3 linked regions of the Caenorhabditis elegans genome follow. The protein of the gene in region 1 interacts with the protein of each later gene in a pairwise test. Each region holds a gene or a part of one and is shown in the gene's direction. Other genes may lie near its edges.

Region 1 (9,523 bases):
AGTTAAAGCTGATTAATATTTAGTTTTTTTTAATTTGGTTTACATGTTTACAAAAGTCAAGAGCCAAAAAATCCAAATTGTAAAGAAAGTCTTTTCTGCAAAACTGTATACATCAATGTCTGAGATGCAGATATAAAATAGTATAAACAAAAATGGAGTAACGTCAGTAAGTGATATTATTGAAGCTGGAAAACTGAGGTAACTTTACTTTTCGAGAAATCTTAGGCACTTCCGAACGCCTGAAATGTTGGAATATAAATATTTTAAACATCATTAGAACAAAAGTTTGAAAGAAAGCTTTTTGATCGATCATTTTCAAAAAAAGTCGGAAAGTGAGTTTCCCCCGTTTTTTGATTAGAAATAAAATATACTTACATTTTTTGAAAAGTGTTATCATGATATGCAGTCATTTTGGCGCAAAGGAAATCTTTAATCATTTCCTCCACATTTTTACATTTTTAAGTAAAAATTAAAATTGGGAATTTTTAAATCATTTGATGAAAACTGTATCGCAAAATATTTTTTGACTTTTTACACTAAGAAATTTTTATATTTGTAACTGTTAAACTGTTCATGCTAGCTGATGCCGATTGAAAACAAACTGATTCAACACATTGGGTGCCGGGCACGGTCAATCGGTTTACAAAATATTTTACAATGCGGAAATCAAATGCTCACATCTTTATGCTAAATGGTTCAGTCATGAACCATGAAGAAAAAGAATGAATCAGAAAAAACTTAAGTTTTACAACAAGACCAACAGTTTTCCCTCACTTTCCTGTCTCCTCACGAATTGATTCTCCTTCCGGCTGCCCAGTCACTCTCCATAACTTAATTGATACATTTTAGCACCAATTTTATGACGAGCAGAATTTGTTGCGAACATGTTGTCAGCTGCCCTTCTAAAATACATCCATGCCTCCCCTCCCCTCAACCATTACCGATCATTGTCCGTATACGCGCACCATATTGGCGCGTTGATGGACGAAGGCAGAGAGCAGCAGCACGACGACGTCATTATATCAAGACTGGTGGCAGCTTTTCGGGACGAGAGCCGAGACCCAGCTATTACCTAATTTTGAAGCGCTTCTATCCTGGCCTGCAAGCCGGATAATGGATGTGCTCTCGCACGTTGTCTTGTCTGCTTTTGAGAGCAGCATTGGTTTATATTACTTTTAATTAACTATTTCGTAAACTTCTGATCTTTTGTTAAGCAGACAAATTATCAATGTTTTCTTAGGTTGGCTTAAAGCTTGGGATAGGCACCATACATTTCCAAAAAAGAAGTACTAAAGCAGTCTGCAGATCGTGAACCTATAATAATTTAGTCTAGACAAATACAAGCAATATACTATCACATATTATTGTAATGATAGAAGTAGTGAAAAAGAAACTCACACAGAAATTGCTATAAAAATGATCAACCGGAACATTACCAACTTACATTGTTTCATGTTTATTTTTGTTATTTATTAAGTAAAATAATTTATAAGAACTTTTTCTAGTAGTCTTGTACCACAATTGTTGAACATTGAAAGCTCAAAGTTGTTGCTTTGTCGGAACATTTTCAGTCGGAACAAGTGCCAAATATGTGTGCTTTTGATATTCCAATAGTTTAACAAATTTGAATAGAATCCAAAACTCAAGATATGAGTTGCCACATAAGAGCAGTAAAGATTTAAGCTTAATAGAAACAATACTAATACGGTAATACGTATATTTGACGATAATTTTTGAATAGACATTTTGAAGCTATTTTTGTATTTTTAAAACTTCCATGAAATTCAATCATCGGGTTACTTTACTAAATAGTTTATATTTTACTTATTCATAGTTTCGACTGTTTTGTATTTTAAGATCAATGTTTACTACTGTTAGGCTCCTCAAGTTGAATTTCTGTTAATTCTATTGTTTCCAAGATGATATTTCATTCTGAAACTCTACTCCTGAAAATTCAACAATTGTTTTCATTTAAAATGAGCAACTGTAATTTTCTATTCATTAAAGTATTTTTTTTACCATTTAAAAGGAACCCATTCATGAAAAGTTCAATAGTTTCTAATAATGCAATAATCCACAAAAACATGTTCATGCCGCAATTTAATTTTTTCTTGACCTAACTGATCATTTCATTTTCTCATTTCATTTCAAAAAGCACGCAATATTAATGAAACTAGGACACCCTCTCTTAATTGCTTTTGACATCAATTAAGTTGAAATGTTTCTTTCTTTTTTCAAATTTTGCACTTTTTCAATCATTTTGAAAGTAGAATATAAACAAAGTTTTTTGGAAAGATGCTATTGCTCCGAAAATCACGAGGAACGAGCGGATTTGAGAGGATTTCTGAATTTATCGATGATAAAAACAATCTTCTTATTTTCGCGGCCGTTTCTGTAAAACATTTGCTTAGATGTGATAAGTCATTTGAGCAACATTCAATTAGTGAACTTTAGGTTTGAATCCATTGTTTCGGGAGATGTATCGTATCCCAGAGCTAAGAAATGCACAAGAGAGCATGGCTTCTTACCCGCTCATTGGCGTGAGACAAGAAATGGGCGGGACTTTATTTTCGGGACATTCATGGCTCGTGGAGCATAACATACACGTAGTCTCAAGAACCGACTAACGACATTTTTTCTTAACTTTCCATACGAGTTTGATCATGAGTCTGAAACATTTGACTAGGCTTTTTATAAAAGTTCATTAGCTATTCAAGCTAGCGTGCGGTTTTTTTTTCATGAATACTTTTTTTTTCTGAAATTAGACTTTTAGCTAATCAAATTTTTTCTTTCTTTTTCTTTTTTGTTTTCATATAATAAACAAAAATAAAGAGAAAATAAATTACATTATATCTTTGGTTTCGCTTAAATATTCACCTCAACTAAATCGTCAGAATCGTCTATCCCGAATTCGACTCGCTATGTTTATTTTCAGAGGCCTTTTTCAACAAACATGCTGGGACACAACATTTTGACTCTTGGCGAGTGCGATGAGCTGGACAATCATATCGTGATGTGCAGCACCGGGCTTCTTTCTCCGCAGGAAGACTTTAGTAATGGTAGGTTTGGAAACATATTCTTCGGATATACTCGATTAAAATAAATAGGTATTTTTTGTATCTGTACCCCGAAATGTTTTCAATTTTTCCAAAAATTAAAAATGTTTTCTTTTTGTATTTTAGACGCAGGAGCAATCATGGTTATTTACGTGTTGACATCATAGAATTTTATACACTGAAAACATATTGGGTAACAGCTAATAAACAAGTACCATATATTGCTCGTATTTATCAAAATGCATAGTGTGAAGAATTGATTTTTTCAGAGAATGCCAGCTGTTGAGCTGCAAATTTGTTTTTTTAATCACAAACCCCTTAAAACCGGGACAAGGGACTTTTTAGTAAACATCTAGAAAATTAGTTCAACACCATTTCGTGAAAACATTTCATACTTCAGAATCATAAGCAAAAACGTATTCCCCATATTCTTAAGTCATACGACAAAAAGAAAAGAAAAAAGTCCATCCTTGTCATTTCGCTTCCTGTCCTTTTGAACATTACCGACAACTACACCATTTTTCTCTCATACTTCATATTACAATAACAGTAGCCAACGGCAGTGGCCTTTGTCGCTTATCACTTTCTTCTCCTCGCGTTTTTTTAGTTGACCATCCTTTTGCCTATTGTGACTCAATATTACACACTGGAAACGTTTTTCGAAACCTATCACACCTTTTCGCGCGTTCTCGGATACCTCGTTTCGGGCCTCGTGTTCGTATTTTCTGTGTCTCTGAGCAACAAAAATAGCATAATATTTTTGCTAATACTGGACCATCATTCTTCTGGAAATTTGATATTTTAATGGTTGGTCACACCTCCGCGCATCATCCGTACCTTTAGCAGTTTATGGGGAGGACGCACACCTGCAAGCTTCTGGCGATGAGCATTGAATTACCGTTAGGTTCGTTATATCCCTCCTCCTGTTTTCTCTCTTGTTCCTCCAACCTGTTTAGCCACAAATTAAGTAAAAACAGTAGGAGTCAACAATATTATGACAGAATATATAAGGTTTAGTGTGTAGCAAGGGAAAATGGACAAGACAAGGAGAATGTCAAGCATAAAGCATGTGTCAAGAATATGTGTCAAGAATGGGTATCTAGCCGACACGCCGCTATATGAAACAAGTTGAATTATTTATTACAGTTAATGCAGGCCATCCGAATAACGAAGAAGCCATTTGTTCGCTTTGTGACAAGAAAATAAGAGATCGGTTCGTTTCAAAGGTCAACGGAAGGTGGGTTCACTGTTCTTCTCTAGTATTTTTTTCTCGACAAAGTTTCATTCTTTTCAGATGTTATCATTCATCATGCCTCCGATGTTCTACGTGTAAAGACGAGCTTGGTGCGACATGTTTCCTGCGCGAAGATTCTATGTATTGCCGGGCACACTTTTACAAGTAAGATGGTAGTTTTAGCTTTTTTTGGTATCACAGAAATGCGTAGTGCGGCTTTTTAGCTTTCTTACTCACATATTTTGAAATAGAACGGAGAAGTGTATGATAACAAAACATTGTCTTTGAAAGCTTATGTTTTTTTTTTTTTTAATATTTGGTGCGAAAACATTTTCAACCAGAAGAATAGAATTTAAATTCAACTTGGAAACTAGGGGATAGCTTTTTGGTAAATCTTAGAATAAAAAATTAGAGAACGATTTCAAACATTCAATGATAATAATAAAAATTTAAAAGGTTTTTTTGAGTAAACGTTCAATTTTCTTTTATAATATAATATCACAGCTCTCTGACTTCAGATTAAAATTTTTCTTTAAAAATAGATGACTACAAAAAATATGGTTGCAGAGTATCACTCTAATAAAAAAAAAGTTAATCTGAAAATTATTCAGTGCGTTACCGTAAACTTGCTCCAATAAGGTTGATAATTTTATTTATTACGGTCTTAAATTTCTTAAAAATAGGAAAGCATTCCGTGAAAAAAAAACTTTTGAATTTTTCCGGAAAGTTCTCAAAACGTTTTTGATCGAGTTTAATGAAAAAGTTTCAGATTCAGTAGTATTCAAAATATTTTTATAATACTCAACCTTGAAATCATCAGAAGTCATATCAGAAGTCATAGAAGAATTGTTTTTAAGAGTGAACAAAAACATCGAAAAACTTTCAAATAACATGGGTTTTCTTTTTTGGAAATCTATATGTGAACCGAAATATTTACTTGTCATTTATGTCATTTATAAAAAACAAAAGAAAATTAGAATACATCTGTCAAAATAGTTATAGTTGTAGAATTTATTATTCGATTGAATAAAATCTTAATACATATAATTTTGTACATTGAAGCAAATGAGTTTGTTCATGAAATTACTCGTACTAATAGTTTTCGTTTCTACCAAACCCACCCATAACGTTATTTTTTCAAGTGCAATGTTTCAATTTTTGCATTGTAAGTTTTGATAGCTGAACTGCATTCGTCTTCTTTTTTTTCATTTACAAAACTCATAACTTCAGAAAATTCGGTACCAAATGCTCCTCCTGCAATGAAGGCATCGTCCCGGACCATGTTGTTCGAAAAGCATCGAATCATGTCTACCATGTTGAATGTTTTCAGTGTTTTATTTGCAAACGGTAAACTTTAAACTTATTGCTCTGAAACTTGCATATTTTTTCAGATCTCTTGAAACCGGAGAAGAGTTTTATTTGATTGCCGACGATGCGCGACTCGTGTGTAAAGACGATTATGAGCAGGCTAGAGATAAACGTAAGTGATCAGTCCTCCATAAAGAGCTACTCGATTTTTCTCAATAGTCTCGCTTCCAGACTGCAATGAACTAGAAGGCGATGGTAGTAACAAGAGACCACGGACTACGATTTCCGCCAAGAGTCTAGAAACCTTGAAGCAGGTGAGCTCTTTCCACTGTTTTTATCATTGATGAGGTGAAGTCATAAAATAAAGCAAATCATTTTTGTAAAGCAAGACAGCGCCGTAGATTGACAAGAGCCACATAAAACCGCAACACTCTGGCGCCATTTGTAATAGAATTGAGTGCAATCCGCTTGTCAGATTCTTTAGTGAGTGAGCATTTCACAACAGAAACAATTTACTGTAATATTAGTGTTACCAATTATAAATTCGTATTCCTTAAAACATTACAATATAAAATATAATATTACTATACAATCGAAACATCCGGAATTGTCTGTTTAGCAATTTCAGGTGCGATCCATACTTTTATTATAAGTGTTGCAAGTGATAATTAAGATAACTTGTTTTAAACAAAAGTTCTCAACAATTTGAGCAGAGTTATTAGACCATTACGTGTACAAAGCCAATAGAACTTACTAGACTACTTTTTAATTCGTCGTTCTGAGTGCACGACTAATAGGAAATCTGCTCTACACTTCAATATAACTATAGATGTATTATTTCAAATGTTTAGATTTATTATTTCAGGCATACCAAACTAGCAGTAAACCAGCTCGACATGTCAGAGAACAACTCGCTTCAGAAACTGGACTTGACATGAGAGTTGTTCAGGTAGCACTTGCCTTATCAAGCGGCTTCGCTAATGTTTTATTTTTTATCAGGTTTGGTTTCAAAATCGTCGAGCCAAAGAGAAACGGTTGAAGAAGGACGCTGGTCGCCGGTGGAAGTCCTCAAATCGTGCAGAAAGCGACAGCAACTCTCCTATCGAGAGTATCAACGGGCAGAGCCCTAATTACTGTGAGAAATTTGAAGCTTATCGCTAAGCTTTTCATTCTTGTTTTGCAGTATACCTGGATCACCCAATGGACGATGGGAACGAGAGCAATTACCTTTTTCACTCCAGAGAGCAGACACCTGATAAATGTAAGGGAATATGAATATAAACTGAAAAAGTTTAACATTTTCAGACTACCGAAACGAAACCCCATCTACCGATCCACCTCCAATGCACATGACAACTCCGAGTGTTCTAACAACCAACTTCTCAACCCCATTATCTTTATCGACTAATGTTTACAACCTTCCTCCTCCTGAATCTCAGTTAATCCCACACATGACTCCACAGTACATTTGAACTGGAGAAAAACAAAAACTCTAGTTTTCGATTACATTTTAATTTGATACTTGATACAACGTTCCGGTTTGGAGTAACGAATGGTATAATATGTAGAATATAGAAATGGTTTTTGAATTAATGTAGCCACAATTGTGAGGAATATCTTACAAAATCTTTATTAGTGGTCTTGAATCTTTGATGATGTTTTGATATTTGAGCAGAAACTGTTTCCTGGAATCATATAACTTTACAAGTACTCTACCTCACAAAATAGACGACCCCCTACTCACCAAACAGCCATGAGACATGCTTGAAACATTTTCTCTCTTGCCAAAAACCTTATCTATTCCCTGTTTTCGTATATCTCTTTATTTCTCTTTTCGTTTCATCACAGCTGTTTGCCCATGCACCGCAGTTTTCAACATTTCACCACTTTCTGAATAAATAGGTCCCTTGCCCGTTTTGCTTCTTCCAATACCCCCTCGCTCGCTCGTTTCATACATCTCATAGTCAATATTCGTGTGAGGCCCCCACTCCTCTCCTTCTAAACACTTGTTACGTATCCCTCGACACCTTGACCATTCATTCTTCATCAATGGTGGATGTGTAACACTTATTTCGAAATGTATGATTGATGGTGTTCTTCATACTTTTCTCTCACCCCACGCCACCCCCCCCCCCCCCCCCTTCCCTCCCATCAGTGTTTAATATCCGATCATCGAATTGCCAAATCATTTTGCCATATACCTTTTAATAAATCATGACAGGAATTGTATAAATTTGCCACCAATGAATGCACATCTCGAACCAATAAAACCCATCAATCAATTTGATATGGAATTATGAAAATTTAAAATAAAATCTCTCTCTCTCTCTCTCTCTCTCTCTCTCTCTCTCTCTTTTAAATCGTGTATGTATAATGATCACATGCAGTTAATTTTCGTTCAACAATCGAAAAATTGGGCGATACCCATTTTTCCAAAAATCCCGAAATACGGCACACGATCTTAAAATTTACGTGTCAAAGGAGCTGAATATTATAGTATTTTTAAAATTTCTGAGTATTGGTAATAGACACTGTTTTCTGGGAAATGTGGTTCAAAACCATTGGTTAAAACAATGTGAAAGTCATAAACCTGGTACATTTCACTGAATGAATAATCTTAAAAATTAAAAATTAATTTAAGGTTTAATGTTTCAAAACGTACATCAACGTTTATTCAATAAAAATCAATACAAAAACAAATTTTGGCATCATCAGGATTGAGGGTTTCAGTTTATATATATTACTAAAAAAAACGGTAAAACAAAATGACAGAACATAAAAATGAGAGTTTTTCGAACAATTTTCAAACTTGATCACTTGAAAATTTGAGCAAATCATGACGAATCAACATATGGAAGATCACCGACCACTAACTTGACTGGATCTAGTGACCTCTGGAATTAAACATTTCTATTGACAACTGATACAAGAAATCATTCAAAACAAAAATCGAATGAAACAAAAAATGGGGATAATATCAAAAAGCTGGAATGGTTCTCTCGGCCGGGGAAGAAGAGTTAGAAGGGTCAAAGACTTATCACAAGGCAACGGAGGGGTAGTACAAAAGACGAAGCTGACAAAAATTGACTGACGAGGGAGAATGCTTCAGAAATAGTTCTCCGAGTCAATTATTACCTTTGGTACACTGGCGGTTGTAGCTCCCCGATGTGACATATCGTTGCTCAATGACGTTTTCTTCTCATTTTCCGGTGACATCTCCGTTGACTCATTCGTGTATGGCTGATAAATTAAGTTGGTCAAGATAGTCATTAAGAGAAACGAAATCGTACCTTGTAATTGACAGAACCGTTTCCTTTGAACTCCGGACTGCTGTTCCTGCATTCCAGTTGTTTCTTCTCTTCAATGGATGGACTGGAAAATATTGGTTATTTTTAACTTAGTTTGGTTAGATGAACACAGTTACGGCAAAAAAACTATAGCGGCCGACATCTCATGTGCTCACTTTTGACAGTGAACGCTAATTTGATCCATGATGTCATTCATTCAGAATTTTATATGTAAATACATATAAAACAATATTTTTTCCTAACTTTGAAAGACACTGGTCGTTTGTTGAATTAATTTTATGATTATATTTCAAGTGAAAGAATCTCTCACATTTCAAGTCAAAGAAATAGTAAATAAATAAATAAAATTGAATAAAATAAAAAATGATTCCGAAATTTAAAAAATCAAATTCATAGCAAATATTTTAACGTCCCACGGGACAAGTTGCTTTCTCTCAAATATCATTCCGTTACCTTAGTCGTTTTTAGTTTAAAAAATGTGGAATATTCCTATTAAAACTAAGATACAAAACAATTACTGAATCATGAAATTGTGAATTTGATATAACAAACCAGTTGATATATAAAACTTGCAACTCATGCAATAAACACGAATAAATTGTTTGTGTTCGAGCAAT
Region 2 (6,928 bases), on another chromosome or scaffold:
TAAAATCCTACCAGCTACATTTCAAATCAAAAATAGTTTCTTGTCAATATATCATCCTCAGACACATATTTCCCTAATAAGTCAGACACGGGCCCGGGATGAAAAAACACGTCAAACTACGAAAGAGAAACAAGCGGATTACTATCAGATTGTAGTTTTTGATGCGACGTCGGCATTATATATTTTACCGGATTTTAAAGAGTCAATCCAATTTCATTCTCATTTTTTGTCAATGACTAATTGATGGGTCAGAAGACGGCAGGGTTTTTTATTTCAAAAATGGTAAGCATCATCAAAGATTGCATATTGTCATTCCGAATGATCTGTTGATTGAGCATTTCGATGCTAAATCTAGAAAATCCTACAGAGTGAATTTCGAAATTTTGCGATCTTCCTCAAAGATCTTAAGTCTCAGGAAATACAAGGAAAGTACCAATATTTATATTTAGACATTTAGTCTTATTTTTGTGTGACAGGCACAAGGGGTTTACATCAAATTTTTCTTTGTGTCCCCAGTTTGCAATATACTTACAAAATGAGAAAAAATAAACTAATTGAAGCCGAAAATTTGCGAGCGAATTTTCAGCTGAACCATTTTAACTGGTTTTTAATTTAAAAAAGACAATTTTTGGTTTTTAAAAAAATTGGGAAAAAGATGACCCAGTTGAAAATTTTCTATTTTTTCCTATTTCAAATGAAACTACCATTTGTGGCATTGCTAGTTAATATCGAAATTAGTAGTTATAATTATTAAGCTTTAATATGGCGGCATGGAACTTCCAGACTACTGAACCAGGTAAAATAGGAAAACGATGTATGTTTTTATATTGATTACATTGTGGTATAAAAAGAAACTATTATCAGATCTTCCCACCAAACTTCAACTTTATCTAAAATTCTAAAGGAACTTACTTCAAAAAATTTGACGTACTCAACACTTCGGTACACATAGCCATAGCCCCGCCCTTTTTAACTCAATTGCGTCAGAAAACATTTTTTCCACATGTCTTGCCTTATCTCGAAAACTGATGCTTTTTCGATCCTGCACAAATGAGGCTGTACGCGTCGTCACGGCTCATCGCCAAATTCGCTCATCAAATCTGGGAAGCGGCTTAAAACCAATTGAAGCAAGGATCATCTTGTCGATGGGCAGGATATACCATCCGAGTATCCGCCTATTTTTTTTCATTCGGGCCAACTTTTTTTTGCTGTTAATGAAAACTAATACGGAAAACTTTTCAGGAACACTAGTGAATATGGTGTCATTTCAGAGGTGTCAACTTTTTTCCAGAAAAAGGAAAGTTCCAAATTAGTAGTTTGTGAACTTCTATCACTCTGAAATGGAAATGTTTCCTTCTGCTAATTTTAAGGATGTATTTTAACAAGTAGCAACCCAACTGCCGGAGCTTATGTGTTCGAAATAATTCAGAACCCATTCCCCACTGCCTTCACATGCTTACAATTTATTGAGATTTTCTCCCCAATTCTAGCACATTTTTTTTCCAAATTCTTTACTTCCACTTCATCTCACCTAGCTTCTCCTGGAAACCTTACGTCATTCCTCTAGTCTGTATCTCTTATTCTTCTATACTTTCTCATCTTCTCCGGTTTGACCTAGTCTTTGCGTATTGACACTTTCGTCTTATTCCCTTCAATCCATTGCCGTCCGTCTTCATCTTTTTTCCGTCTTAGCCGTCTTGGTGACGATGGATAATTAGCGGAAAGGATAGGTGTATTGACAGTTTGACCTTGTATAGTTCATAGTCACGGGTTGCAACATTTCGGTGCCACGTCATTAGGCTTATTACAAGTGCCTAGTTTTAATCTAATGTTTATGGTCTCTTTTTGGGATATGGGAACCAAGTAAACTGAAATTTGCACGGCTTTTTCATTTGTTAAATCTAGAAAAAAGTCCCTAAAGATGTGCCTTTTTTGCAAACACTCCCCCGCGATTAAACTTTAAACCTACTTAGTTTTCTTATGCAAAATCCATCATTAAACCTTTTTTGCTTCACTTTCTTAGAAACAACTTGTCCGACGATTTTGAAGTACAAACCATAAACTTTCTTCGAAGGATTTTCTTTGGATTTTAAAAACAGGTCTCTCAAAAAAGATTAGAAGATTATGCTTTAAGATTTGCCCAGATGATCAAACAATGGCTGATGAAATTTTTAAATCTAGCTGTTTTAACCATTTCATAAATTTCAAAACAAGAGACTATGTCAAAACTTGAATACACTAATAATAGTCCAACATGACCAGCATTTTTTAGAGTTTTCTAAAAACTCCAGAGATTGTCTTTTTAGAGTCTCCTAAAATAAGTGAATACTGACAAATTGCCATTTATTGGCTACTCAACGTTCACACTAAGTTCTTCTTTTTTCTACGAAAGAGTTCAAAATTAAAAAACGTCTTCTAAATAATGGAGCAAAGAGTCACAGTTTGGAAAAGCCTCCAAACAAGTTATTCTTGGAAACTGTTGCCCCAAAAATTCTGTAAATATATTAGGTACGCGAAACCAGGCAATAATGTTGAAAGATAATACTACGATTGCTGATTTCAAGCTCCTCCGATTTACTTTTAAAATTTGAAGCTTCTCACACACACGTTCTCATAAAATTCCCGTGCTCCTGCTGCTCCAAAACATTGAATGCAATGATTCATTCGTTATCTGAGTTAATCTACCGTATCCTTGCAGCACATTCTATTTTAGAAATTCAAGTCATTCTTGTAAAATGATCTGGATTTGGGATTACATGACATACACTAAAAAGAGAATGGATCATTCTTACCGTCAGCGTCATTGATCTGGATGCCTGTAGTTAAGCTTTTTTTATTACTTTTTGCATCTTTCTTCTTCCTCCTCCGTCATCATAATGGCCTTTTGCCTGCACACATTGAAAAGTGCCTATGTGCTCAAAATGCTATGAGCTCACACATCTTTTCTTTCATTCGATTTTCAGATTTTTTACTTCCTCATTTTATCTGCCTTTGTATTGTTTCATGTGTCTTCATGTTTCATGATTCAGCTCAAAATCATGCATCTTGAAATGGATATGAAGCTGGAAGACGATAAAATTCATTCACCCACAAATACAGAGGAGGAAGGTTACGGTAGTGACGTGGAGGTTGAGAATGGAACTGATATCAGTGGATCCAAAGGTGGAAGTGGTGTTGAGTTAAAACGACCCGATTTAAAAGGTTTGTAAGTTCTGGGAATTGTTATTAGTCCACCAAATCTGATTAGGTTCTTACTTTTATAATGATTCTGAATTTCAGGTTCGTTCCGTTGCTCAATCTGTTCAAAAGTTTTCTGTCATTCTTCAAGTCTCTCCCGCCACCGTATGCAGGCTCACTTCAAAAGCTACAAATGCACAGTATGCCGAAAAGATATCTCAAGTAAGTCGGAAGTTATTTATTTTTTATTGACAATGAGGTGATCTTCCGAGCATTAAGAAAAATCCTCAATCACAGATTTTTCGAAATTGAAAGAAAGATAATCATGACATTTGATACAAGAATGAGCTGCACATTTGAGCTGAAAAGCTGCTGGAGACAAAAATATGAAATAGAATGAAAACTTGTTCGATCAGGGACTCAGAGAGCTTTTGCTACAAAAATGTATTAAGCTCCAGTACATCTTTTGATTTGATCTCCTCATTTCCCGGGTTTAGCAGGGATACTGTAGAACATTTTGCAGAGCAAAATTGTGCAGTGCAAAACCACTGCTATATTTTAAAGCATCCACCTATAATATTTGAACAAGCATATTGTTTACACCTGAATTGTTTATCACATGAAACACCGCAAGAAACTCGTTTTTATTGTTGTTCGGGTATAAGCATCTGTATGAACAATTATTGTTTACTATCCATCCACTCTCCGGAGAAAGATTCCTCTTGATCTCATTCAATTTTCACTGTTTCTTCATTCTCCGGACGATTGAGGTCATCCGGAGAAATACGAAATAGTGGAGACGCAGACGCAAACACAGTTCTCACTTTTCGAGAACGGGGACAATTGAATGAGGTTGCGCAATGGATGAGAGTGGGGGCAGAAGGGAAAAAAGTGGAGGATTGGAGCGAAATTGTAAGGGGTCAAATAATGGCTTTGGGATAAGTAGACAAACTTTATAGGAGTACTGTATTTGAATTGGGGACTTTGAATAATAATAAAAAACTATTGTAATTTGCAGGTAGTGAATCTCTTCGTACTCATATGTTCAAGCAACATCATATCTCTCGAATGTACATGTGCCGTTGCTGTAATTGGGCTTTTCCTGATAAATCACTTCTTCATATTCATCTACAAACTGCCACTAACAACAATGACAGCAACAACAATAATAATAGTGTCATTCCTCATGGAGTTATCAACAGAAGCTGCCACCTCATTACAGATCCATTCCAGTGTAAGACTATCAGATATGAGATGAACATAAAAAGATTATTGATTTCAGTAATCCGTACTCCACTTCTAAATCTACCAACCCCACAATCCCTTGAATCATCAGTACCTTCTCTTCCAATTGCAAGCATCCCAATCCCTGCTCTTCAATCGCCTATTCGATCTCAACCTCAGACACCTTCATGGCTTGCAAATCTTCCAAAACCCATACCTAGTAAGTTACATACAAAATATTTGTAATGCTTATGATAATATTTCAGCTACGGCACCAATATTTGTAGCAGATTCAAAAGAAAAAATAAAAGATGAAGTGGAGAAGCCCGATGTGTATACTTCACAGTCACCAACTTGCTCATCAGTCAGCTTCAAGTCTGATCTTAGTGCATTCCATCAGTTGTGTTCTGATCGTGCTCTTATATCATCTCCATTGATTGATACAGCTTCACCATCCTCATCATCTTCTTCTTCAAGGATCAGTCCACGTCATGAATGCTTCGACTGCCACGTCAGCAGGACAAAGATATTGATTTCTGAAAATAAATGCAAACTGTTGGAACACAAAATTGGTACGATGCAACAAGAAAGTTTAGAAGCAAATGCCCAAATGAATGGATTGGAACAAACTGTGCTCAGATTGAGAATGGAAGCACACGCGCTCCGTGAGCACAATGAGCTATTCCAAAGGAAATTGTTAGAGTGTCAGGTAAGATTTCAGATCAGAAAGAAGTATTTCAAAATTATTTTTTCAGAATCTTGCCGTGAAATTTCTTCAAAATGACAAAGCTCACGACGCCTCGGAAATGAATTCATTTCTTCGAATTCTCATAAATAACACAATTTTGACACGTCCTTTTTAGAATTATCTTTTTTCCAAATTTCTCTGAAACCTCAAACTTCGCAAGCTTTACTATCATGTTAATATTGTTTCATTTTTGGAGATTTCTCATAATTTTCGCAATATTTTTTACCAATCTCAGAACTATATTTTTTAACTTATTTCTTCCTGTTTGCGGGATTTTTTGCTTTTTATTTCCAAAACAAATATTAAACAAACAAATCAAAATCATCCGATCCGTTGTGTTCCTTCTGTGTCTCCATCTCCATAATTCTCAGTGCTTACGTTGAATATACATAATTGTAATATAATAATAATACATACTTGATATAAATTTAAATGCTGTATTCTACGTTTCTTCCAGGAAATAACTGAAACTGATCAGAGAAAGTCAAGAAAGTAAAAAAACAGTATAGAAAGTTGAATAATGTGTGTTCCAGAATTTTTGGTACTCTTTCAAAAAAAATTTTTTTTGAAAAATACATTTACAAAAGACGTAAACGGATTTCTTATCCAGAATAAACAAATAACTAAATAAATCCTCTGCCAAATATCCATGGTAACTGAAATCTGAGAAAGCTCATTTCTTAGCTCTTTAATTCCAACAAAAAATCGATGTCCATTTTCACTTAAAGCGACCCAAAAATACCAAATTTAGTCATGAGCCTCTACCAATATCCTGAGCTCTGTTTTTTTTAATGTTAAACTCTGTTTCAGCTAAATTCTCAAATTTCGCAAAGTCAGTTTTCATCAAATTATTATTTTTCATAGCAATTTTGTCATTATTTTGTGGGTTGTTTCGTTGATGTGCTGATAGGTGCTCACATTGAACATTGTCATTGCTGTCAAAATTTGACCATTTCAGGAAAAAAAAACTTGACGAATTTGGAGCATTGTTAATTTATCTAGGAAAATTAAAACAATAGAGTATGGGGGTAGAAAAATTAAATAGTATTGAGAAACATTTTCAGACGACGCTGTCAGAGTTATGAAATCAATTCAAATTGCTATTAACATGTTTGATGAACTTGTCTGAACAAGTTTTCAAAATACATACAAAATACAATACATATTCTGTTTAAAAGTTAAAAAAAACATAATAATTTGAGATACTGTGGTATTACGGGACTGTATGGATTTGGTAACCGTGCTGTAAGTTTAGTACAGTTAGGTACGGTAGGGGATCTTTGGAATACCAGACAAGCAGACTATGTTTCTAGTCTTTCATTTTTATCTTCCTATTCCTCCGGCATGCAAAAAATTCCAGTTCCTTGTTACTCCACGTACGTAAGATCGAAATGATGCTGATTATTGATACGACTCTACGAATATGTTTGTTTTATTCATGTCACTTGTTGCAACGCCCTTTTTTCTTCAAATTTATTGAAACGCCCTTTCCTTATCAAAACATACGTTTTTCGATAAAGTGATAAGCTGTACTCCGGAACACACACAAAATACATATTTTGAGCCATACAATTTCTAAAACCAGAGTAAAATTTAGATTCATTGAAAATTTGCTCAATGGAACAGATGAACAAACATAGACAATCATTATTTTATTTTATTTACAATTGATGTCCCTACAGTATTACTGTCCATTGTATTCTTTTATTCTTGTTCGATTTCTTCGATTTCAATATACCATATGCCAATTCCATTTTTCAATAGCATTTAGGTTCTAAT
Region 3 (6,542 bases), on another chromosome or scaffold:
CGGTTGTTTCTCTCTTGAGCAATAATTTGCATTGAAAGATTCACCATTCCCATTTTCATGACTTGGCTCAAATCATTGCGAAGCTCACATAACATCTGTAAGATACACTGCTAACTTAGCAATTGTTAACAAACGAATACCTCTTCATGATCGGCGCTTGCCTCTTTTCTGATATCAATAACACTGTCCTTTTCAGCATTTTGAATTTTCAAGTAAAGCTCAAATAGATCTTCAGCATGCTGTTGAGCAATAATTCTGGAATTTCAATAATAATAGAAATTCATAATACGACCATACTGTGTAACATATTTGCACTCACTCATTGTTGTCTATTCTGGTTTCAACATCATCAAAAATTGATGTCTCCATTGCGACTGTTCGTTTGTCAAATTATTGTAGGGATAATAAACTTACAGAAATCAAATATTCAATAAAAAACGACATGAACTTGAAAAGTGGTTCTTTCTTCCTCATATTTATTTTGTTTGTCTCATGGAGAAAGATAACGTACACTTTCAACTACAACTAGCAAGTGTTGTTGGTGTTGTTTGAAACAAAGGGAGGGAATGGCTGGGGAGTGATGAAATCCAGCATTTTGGACACTCGGCAATTCAGGTAACTGTTGGTTTCTGAAAGTTTTGGCAATTGCTCAAACCTTTGAAGACTTTACTTGAAATTAATTACTGAAAAACTCTGAATAGTTTGATTGTGAGAGACATTTTTTTTAATGTGAAATTTTTGCCACAAATTATTAAAATCTATATGCTGTATTTCCTCGAATAGTATTACAACTTATTTGTTAGCTTTGACAACACGTATCTTAGTTTTTGTTTGTTAGAAAAACTGTCAATTAGCAAAATATTTCAAACTCTTTTTCTACCATTTCTTTATTGGTTGATTTAGAAATTATTGGAAATCAAGTAAGGAGATTGCCGGTTGCCGAAAACTGTTGAAAGCTGTGCACCGCTAGGTTTTGCATTCGATAAGTTATCGTTGAACCCAGTGAAACCATGATGGTATTTTGGGAGAATTCAGAAAACGTTTTAATGGAGTTTTTTAGATCGTAATCATGAACAGAGGTTACAACTTATTGTTTTAAAGTGCTTTGCTGAATAAATTGAGTCAATTTAAACGGAAAACAAATCTAAAGAATATTGCACATTATACGTTGGCATGACAAGGACGCTACATTTGCAAAAAAACAGTTGAATGACTTTCACGGATCGGTTACAGACAGTCATTTCTGGATAATTCAATTCAAGTGATTAATCGCAATGAATGTTGTATGTTTTTGCCACTGGAACGTTGACATATCAATGACGCCGGCTGAACGTTTCTGTAATTTTCAGATTTTATCCAAATATATAATATGCACCATAATAGTAATATTTATTTGTAAAGTGTTATTCTACCAAATTCAATCAAAATTAATCAATCGTCGATCTGTATTCCTCCTACAAATATTGGAGTATTAGTTCCTGGAAATTCAGTGTATTTATTCCACGCTATTTTAATATTGTTTCCCAATCCGACAACATTCATCACAACAAATGGACGATTCCATTATATATTAACGGCCCAAACAGAAGTACCAACATCATCTCACCTACTGCTAATAATTTTTGAGCAGCTCACAAAAAAACAAGAGCTGAATGAAATTCGATTCATTCTAAATGCGCACTAGCTCATATTTTATGTATCAATTCCCCTGGCCCGACCTCATACATTTTTTATCGGCCGATCGTCGTCGGTTCATCTCAATTGCACACATACACTAACCAAACCTACAGCTTCACACACATACACTAACCAAACCTACACAAACAACACAATTTAAATTATTTTTTCTTACTTTTTTTATAGAACGAGTTTGACTTTTTAGTGCTCCTCTTGAAAAACTTTCTCTTTGTTTTATAATAATTTGTGGAACAATCAGGTAGGTGGCGTCGGTAAGGAATTATTTTGGTTCAGGATGATGAAAACAATTTGATAAGAGCATTCAAAGTATTCAATACATTCAATGTTTACCTGAAGAGTCAAGTGATAGTCATAAAGATGAACAAGTTTTTGGTGATAAGAGAATAGAGTATCAACGACAGATTCAATACATTTTGAAAGTGGAAATGATTTGAACAGAACAATAAAAATTCTAGAATTTATGAATACATATCGCGTGCGGAATAATTTCATATGTTAATTCGTTCAATTCTTTTTTATTTCAATCGCATTATTTTCAAATCAAAAATGTTTGAATGCTCACACATCCAGCAATTGTGGAATACAAGTTAATTAAATTCTCAGTTGTGCCTATGAATGAAGTTGAAATTGTTGACTAACTTAAAATTTTTCTCACTTTTTTCATACATCAGGATACAAAAGTTTTTAGCAAACTTTTCACAAGACACAAGACAATATCGTAACCTCAACAAAATTTCAATCAGCTTATCGCTGAGCATGTTCACTTTTTTCTGTCTCTTTTTTAATCACCCAGAAAACTTTTGACGCGGAAAGAATATTAATGTCATCGTTTGAGAACTGAAAGGTTAACTTGATAACAACATGGTATTTCGTTTTAAACCGTTGTGTACTGGCTTTTCGAAAAAATCTGTAAAATTTAAATAATTTCTGCACGAAAAATGATTTTTTTTTGTTTCATCTTCAACAAAGTAAAAGGAAATATTTTGAACAGCTTGAAATCCCTCACTTATATGTCTGGAGGAAAAACTTTTTTATTTTAAGACTTTTAAATTATGTCTCATGTTTTCAATTTATGATATATTATTTAAATTTACACCATGGCGCAGAAATAAGAGGTAACTCTCCAGTTTGAAAATTTTCACTTTTTACTGCAAACAAACACAGTTTCTGTCACATTGTGTTGCTCGGTTCGATTCTGTTCCATTTACACTCTGCACCAGAGTTTCGCTGTGATAAGAACATGATTTTGATGTTGACAGCAACGCCAATTTTTCTTATCACTAGTCAAGATTTTTAGAGCCCTGAGGCTATCTACAATCAGTTGACAACGGTCTACAACAACTGATATAGTCTTATCAGTTTCCAAATCAGTCAATCATACCCAGAGACTGCCTTAAATTTTTGTATATACCAGCATTTTATGGACACAATCATAAGGTTTTCCGGTTCCACCTCATTTTGAATCTAGTCATACTTATTTTTTCTTTCATATTTTGTGCGCAATTTTTCACATTCTTAAATTTCAACATTTTTAATTTCAGTGGTTCAAAAATGGATTTAGCCACTCGCAAAAGGCTACTTTCCGCCAGCGTGGATGTGCCCGCTATGAAAATTTCAGCTCCACCAACTCTAGGTTTGTTGTTTGAGTTGATTTTCGAAAATTGAATTTCTAATTTCAGAGCCACCTGCCAGTTTTATGGATGTCCTTTTTCTAAATCTATTAAACGCGTTGAATTGCACGGAACCTTCGCAACGCATTTCGTTCCTTGATGAAATGATCTCTAGACTTCAGCGATTGAAAGTAAGTTCCGGAAATATTTTATTTCTTATCACATGATATGACATTATCAAACAATTTCTTGCATTAAAATATTCTTTCGCACGGAGTGACACCTTGCTAGAATTTCACGGAATTCACAAAAAGTGTCCGTGAAACTGTTTGATTATGATCGATTTTCAGTGATTATGAATATGATCAAAGCACACACAGATATCATGCTCTGCACAATGTTTCGAAAGAGCCACGTTGCATATGCAACATTGCAGTGTCAGCGGTTTTCTTATCAGTTTCTGGCGTAGTGCCAAGATTTGGAAACATGTTGAAAAAGTACTGAATACAGTATAACGTAGTTAACTGCCGAAACTTGTAATCTCGATAAAATATTCAAAAAACTAACTGCTGGATACAATATTTTAGATTTTTTCTTGGAGATGACTTTATTGAGATATTTTCAGCAATACCATCAACGAATCGAGTCACTCATAAGCAAACCAGTAGTTTCTGAAAAGACATCAACAGGATCACCATGTCCAACTGAACATAAACCATTGGACCACCAACAAATAAAACGATGCATTCAAGAAGATCAGCAAATGCTTCTGAACATGTCAAAGCTGATAACTTTAAATCAAGCTCACAGTCATCCAACTTCAATAGCACCTTCTTCATTTCAAGTTCCAGTTATTCCTCCACCTCCAACTCTGGTTACGGGGCCTTTAAAAGTTGCACCGGCTTCACTTGCTCCAGTACCAATGGAAATTCAATCACAAGAGCAACCGATAAAAAAGTCTCCAGCTCCTACTCCGTCTTTAGACGCATCAAATAAACCGGTCGCTGCACTTGCATCGACTCCACAGCAAAAAGAATCCACGAAAAAAACAGAAAAGGAACAAAAAGAAAAAGCTGCTCCAAGTGTAACTGCACAGCCCCGTATTCCACATGTTCCAAATACAATTCCATCGAAACAGTTTGCACAATCAGCGGAAGTAATGATGAATGATTTACAAGACAAACAGAGGAAACTTCTTTCCTACATATCATCCGCTCACAACGGAAGTGTCACTGATGAAGTACTTCATGATTACTTACGTCATCCATTTGTCTTATTGAAGGAGAAAGGTGTTATCCGCCAACAACCTAATCCATTTTTCCATCTGATGAGTACTCCACAAGTACTAGCAGGTACTCCATCAGTCATCCCTACACCAGCAATGATGTCACCAAATCCTGCAATGGTTCAAAAATCATCGAAGCCATCTACTCCGATTCCAGCCCCACCAGTGCTCGTACCACAAGTGGAGCTCCCTGCCAAAACAAGTTCTGTCTCACAGAAAACAACGGTATCCCCACCCGTGGAGAAAGTAAGATCAACTTCTACAATATAGAAAATAACTATAATTTTTAAGGTTACACCGCCTCCTCAGCATCCTCCCCAACTCTCACTTCAAGTTCCACTCAATGGACCTCAAATGGATCCTACCAAACAATTTCTAGTTCCAATGACTCGTGCTTGCAATCAATGGTCCGTAGTTTCAATGGCTTTACCCCTGAGACTTGTATGTCGTTGCGGTCAGATGCCATGCAGATGTCAATGATAACTAGCCTTTAATTCTGAGGATGTATATTTTATTTTCTAATCAAACATCATTTTTTCCAAAATTGTGATCTCGTTTTTATTATTGTTGATATTGCTGTAAAAGACTGTGAGATAAAGTTATCTGTGATAGTTAATAATAATTTTTCCAGGAGATATTATTTTAGTGAAACTGTCTGCCCGTCTTCTCTTTTTTTTTGCCCTGCGTGGACTGCCAATTAAGCAAAAAGGGTTAAAGGTTAAATGAAGTTAAACACAATGGTGAATTAGTGGTGAATTTTGATTACTTCTGTCAAGTTTTCTGTAAACATGTTGTGTTTTGTCGTGAAATGAAACTGATTACTGCTTTATTTCCAGAAAAACCCTAACGCCCAATTTTCCAAAAAATCCTAATTTTCTCAAAACAATGATTTGTTATTTTGTATTGTTTTTCCACGTATTCAATAAAGCGTAATGAATGGAATTTAATTGTCACTGCAGTTTGACAATTCAACTAACGTTGTCTAACGCTCAAGATTTTATGTTATTTTTCTATAAAATCGTATTTCTGGTGGCCCTAGAGCCACTTTTCCATAAAATCGTATTTCTGGTGGCCCTAGAGCCACTTTTCCAGAAGTAGTAGAAGGTTGAATTCGATAGTTTCCGGTTTTCTTTTAACTATGTTTCAAACTGTTCAACAGAAAAGCAAGAGAAAATCAAGTAAAAGTTCTCGAAACCTTTCAATATCTCTATTGACACGTACATCTTTTTTCTGAAAAAAAACGAACTTCAAAAAGCTCAATTCATAATTTAAATTTTCACGTATCTAGGTCAATATTAGTTTGACTCTCCCATTTAGCTACTCAAAGCACAGATAAATTCCAAAATATTTTAGATAAATAACATTGAGTTCGGCGATGCTTGAAGACCAACTAGGTACAACTTTTTTTTTGCTATACTTTTATACCTCCCACCTTCACAGAGAATTCGATTTTCATGTATCAGCAGAATGAACTGATCTTTCTGTGAAAAATTTCAGCCGTCTCGCATAACTTCCTAAAAAATAATAAATTTCATTGAAAAAGATAATTGTGAGAACCAACGTTAGACCGAAATATGCATTTTTCAGATCATTATTTCTCATTTCTATAATTTTCAGTGGCAGGCTATAGTCGATCATGATAGAATTCCGGTATATTGCAGCAACGATTATGGTGCTGGTAAGTATTGCAAAACGAGAAAACGTTCTTTATCTATTATGACACACGAATTAAAATTTCTCCAAGAAGTTCTCAATCAGAGGTGGGCGGATATTTTTTCGGATATTTTCTAATAATGAATTTATCAATAAGTATTGATGCAATTATTCTGGAAGAAATGTATCCGAACAAAAGAGTAACTATTAAGCAACATTTTAATATGATAAAACCTAGAAAAATTCTACAAGTTTTCTGTATAAACGATATGCAAGTCCATTATCCGATATCCGTA

Evidence for each region. Proteins that work in one complex are often made in the same cells at the same time.
Region 2: the proteins of ceh-14 (region 1) and ztf-30 interact in a two-hybrid assay, tested with the Caenorhabditis elegans proteins (one large-scale study listed by BioGRID).
Region 3: the proteins of ceh-14 (region 1) and B0507.3 interact in a two-hybrid assay, tested with the Caenorhabditis elegans proteins (one large-scale study listed by BioGRID).

The regions. Positions count from the first base shown.
Region 1 is NC_003284.9:7,526,163-7,535,685, reverse strand, and holds ceh-14 (LIM/homeobox protein ceh-14), read left to right. Parts: upstream 1-2,953; coding exon 2,954-3,059; intron 3,060-3,824; exon of another isoform or gene 3,825-3,973; intron 3,974-4,202; coding exon 4,203-4,293; intron 4,294-4,350; coding exon 4,351-4,455; intron 4,456-5,520; coding exon 5,521-5,637; intron 5,638-5,681; coding exon 5,682-5,770; intron 5,771-5,829; coding exon 5,830-5,912; intron 5,913-6,463; coding exon 6,464-6,547; intron 6,548-6,597; coding exon 6,598-6,733; intron 6,734-6,781; coding exon 6,782-6,859; intron 6,860-6,903; coding exon 6,904-7,070; 3' UTR 7,071-7,917; downstream 7,918-9,523. Other genes in the region: F46C8.3 (US6), read right to left, coding at 8,433-8,492, 8,734-8,838, 8,889-8,970. UniProt on the Caenorhabditis elegans protein: Probable transcription factor, modulating expression of helix-loop-helix protein mbr-1 and homeobox protein ceh-63, perhaps acting in concert with ceh-63. Binds to a motif including the sequence 5'-CTAAT-3' in regulatory promoter elements.
Region 2 is NC_003281.10:8,593,972-8,600,899, reverse strand, and holds ztf-30 (Zinc finger transcription factor family protein 30), read left to right. Parts: upstream 1-3,029; 5' UTR 3,030-3,056; coding exon 3,057-3,201; intron 3,202-3,279; coding exon 3,280-3,399; intron 3,400-4,195; coding exon 4,196-4,411; intron 4,412-4,459; coding exon 4,460-4,621; intron 4,622-4,667; coding exon 4,668-5,110; intron 5,111-5,156; coding exon 5,157-5,264; 3' UTR 5,265-5,590; downstream 5,591-6,928.
Region 3 is NC_003283.11:8,765,670-8,772,211, forward strand, and holds B0507.3 (Mediator of RNA polymerase II transcription subunit 15), read left to right. Parts: upstream 1-3,239; 5' UTR 3,240-3,249; coding exon 3,250-3,331; intron 3,332-3,377; coding exon 3,378-3,499; intron 3,500-3,933; coding exon 3,934-4,839; intron 4,840-4,884; coding exon 4,885-5,073; 3' UTR 5,074-5,204; downstream 5,205-6,542. Other genes in the region: B0507.9 (Protein containing ALS2cr12 (ALS2CR12) signature), read right to left, coding at 1-95, 141-255, 320-369; srx-115 (7TM GPCR serpentine receptor class x (Srx) domain-containing protein), read left to right, coding at 6,230-6,271.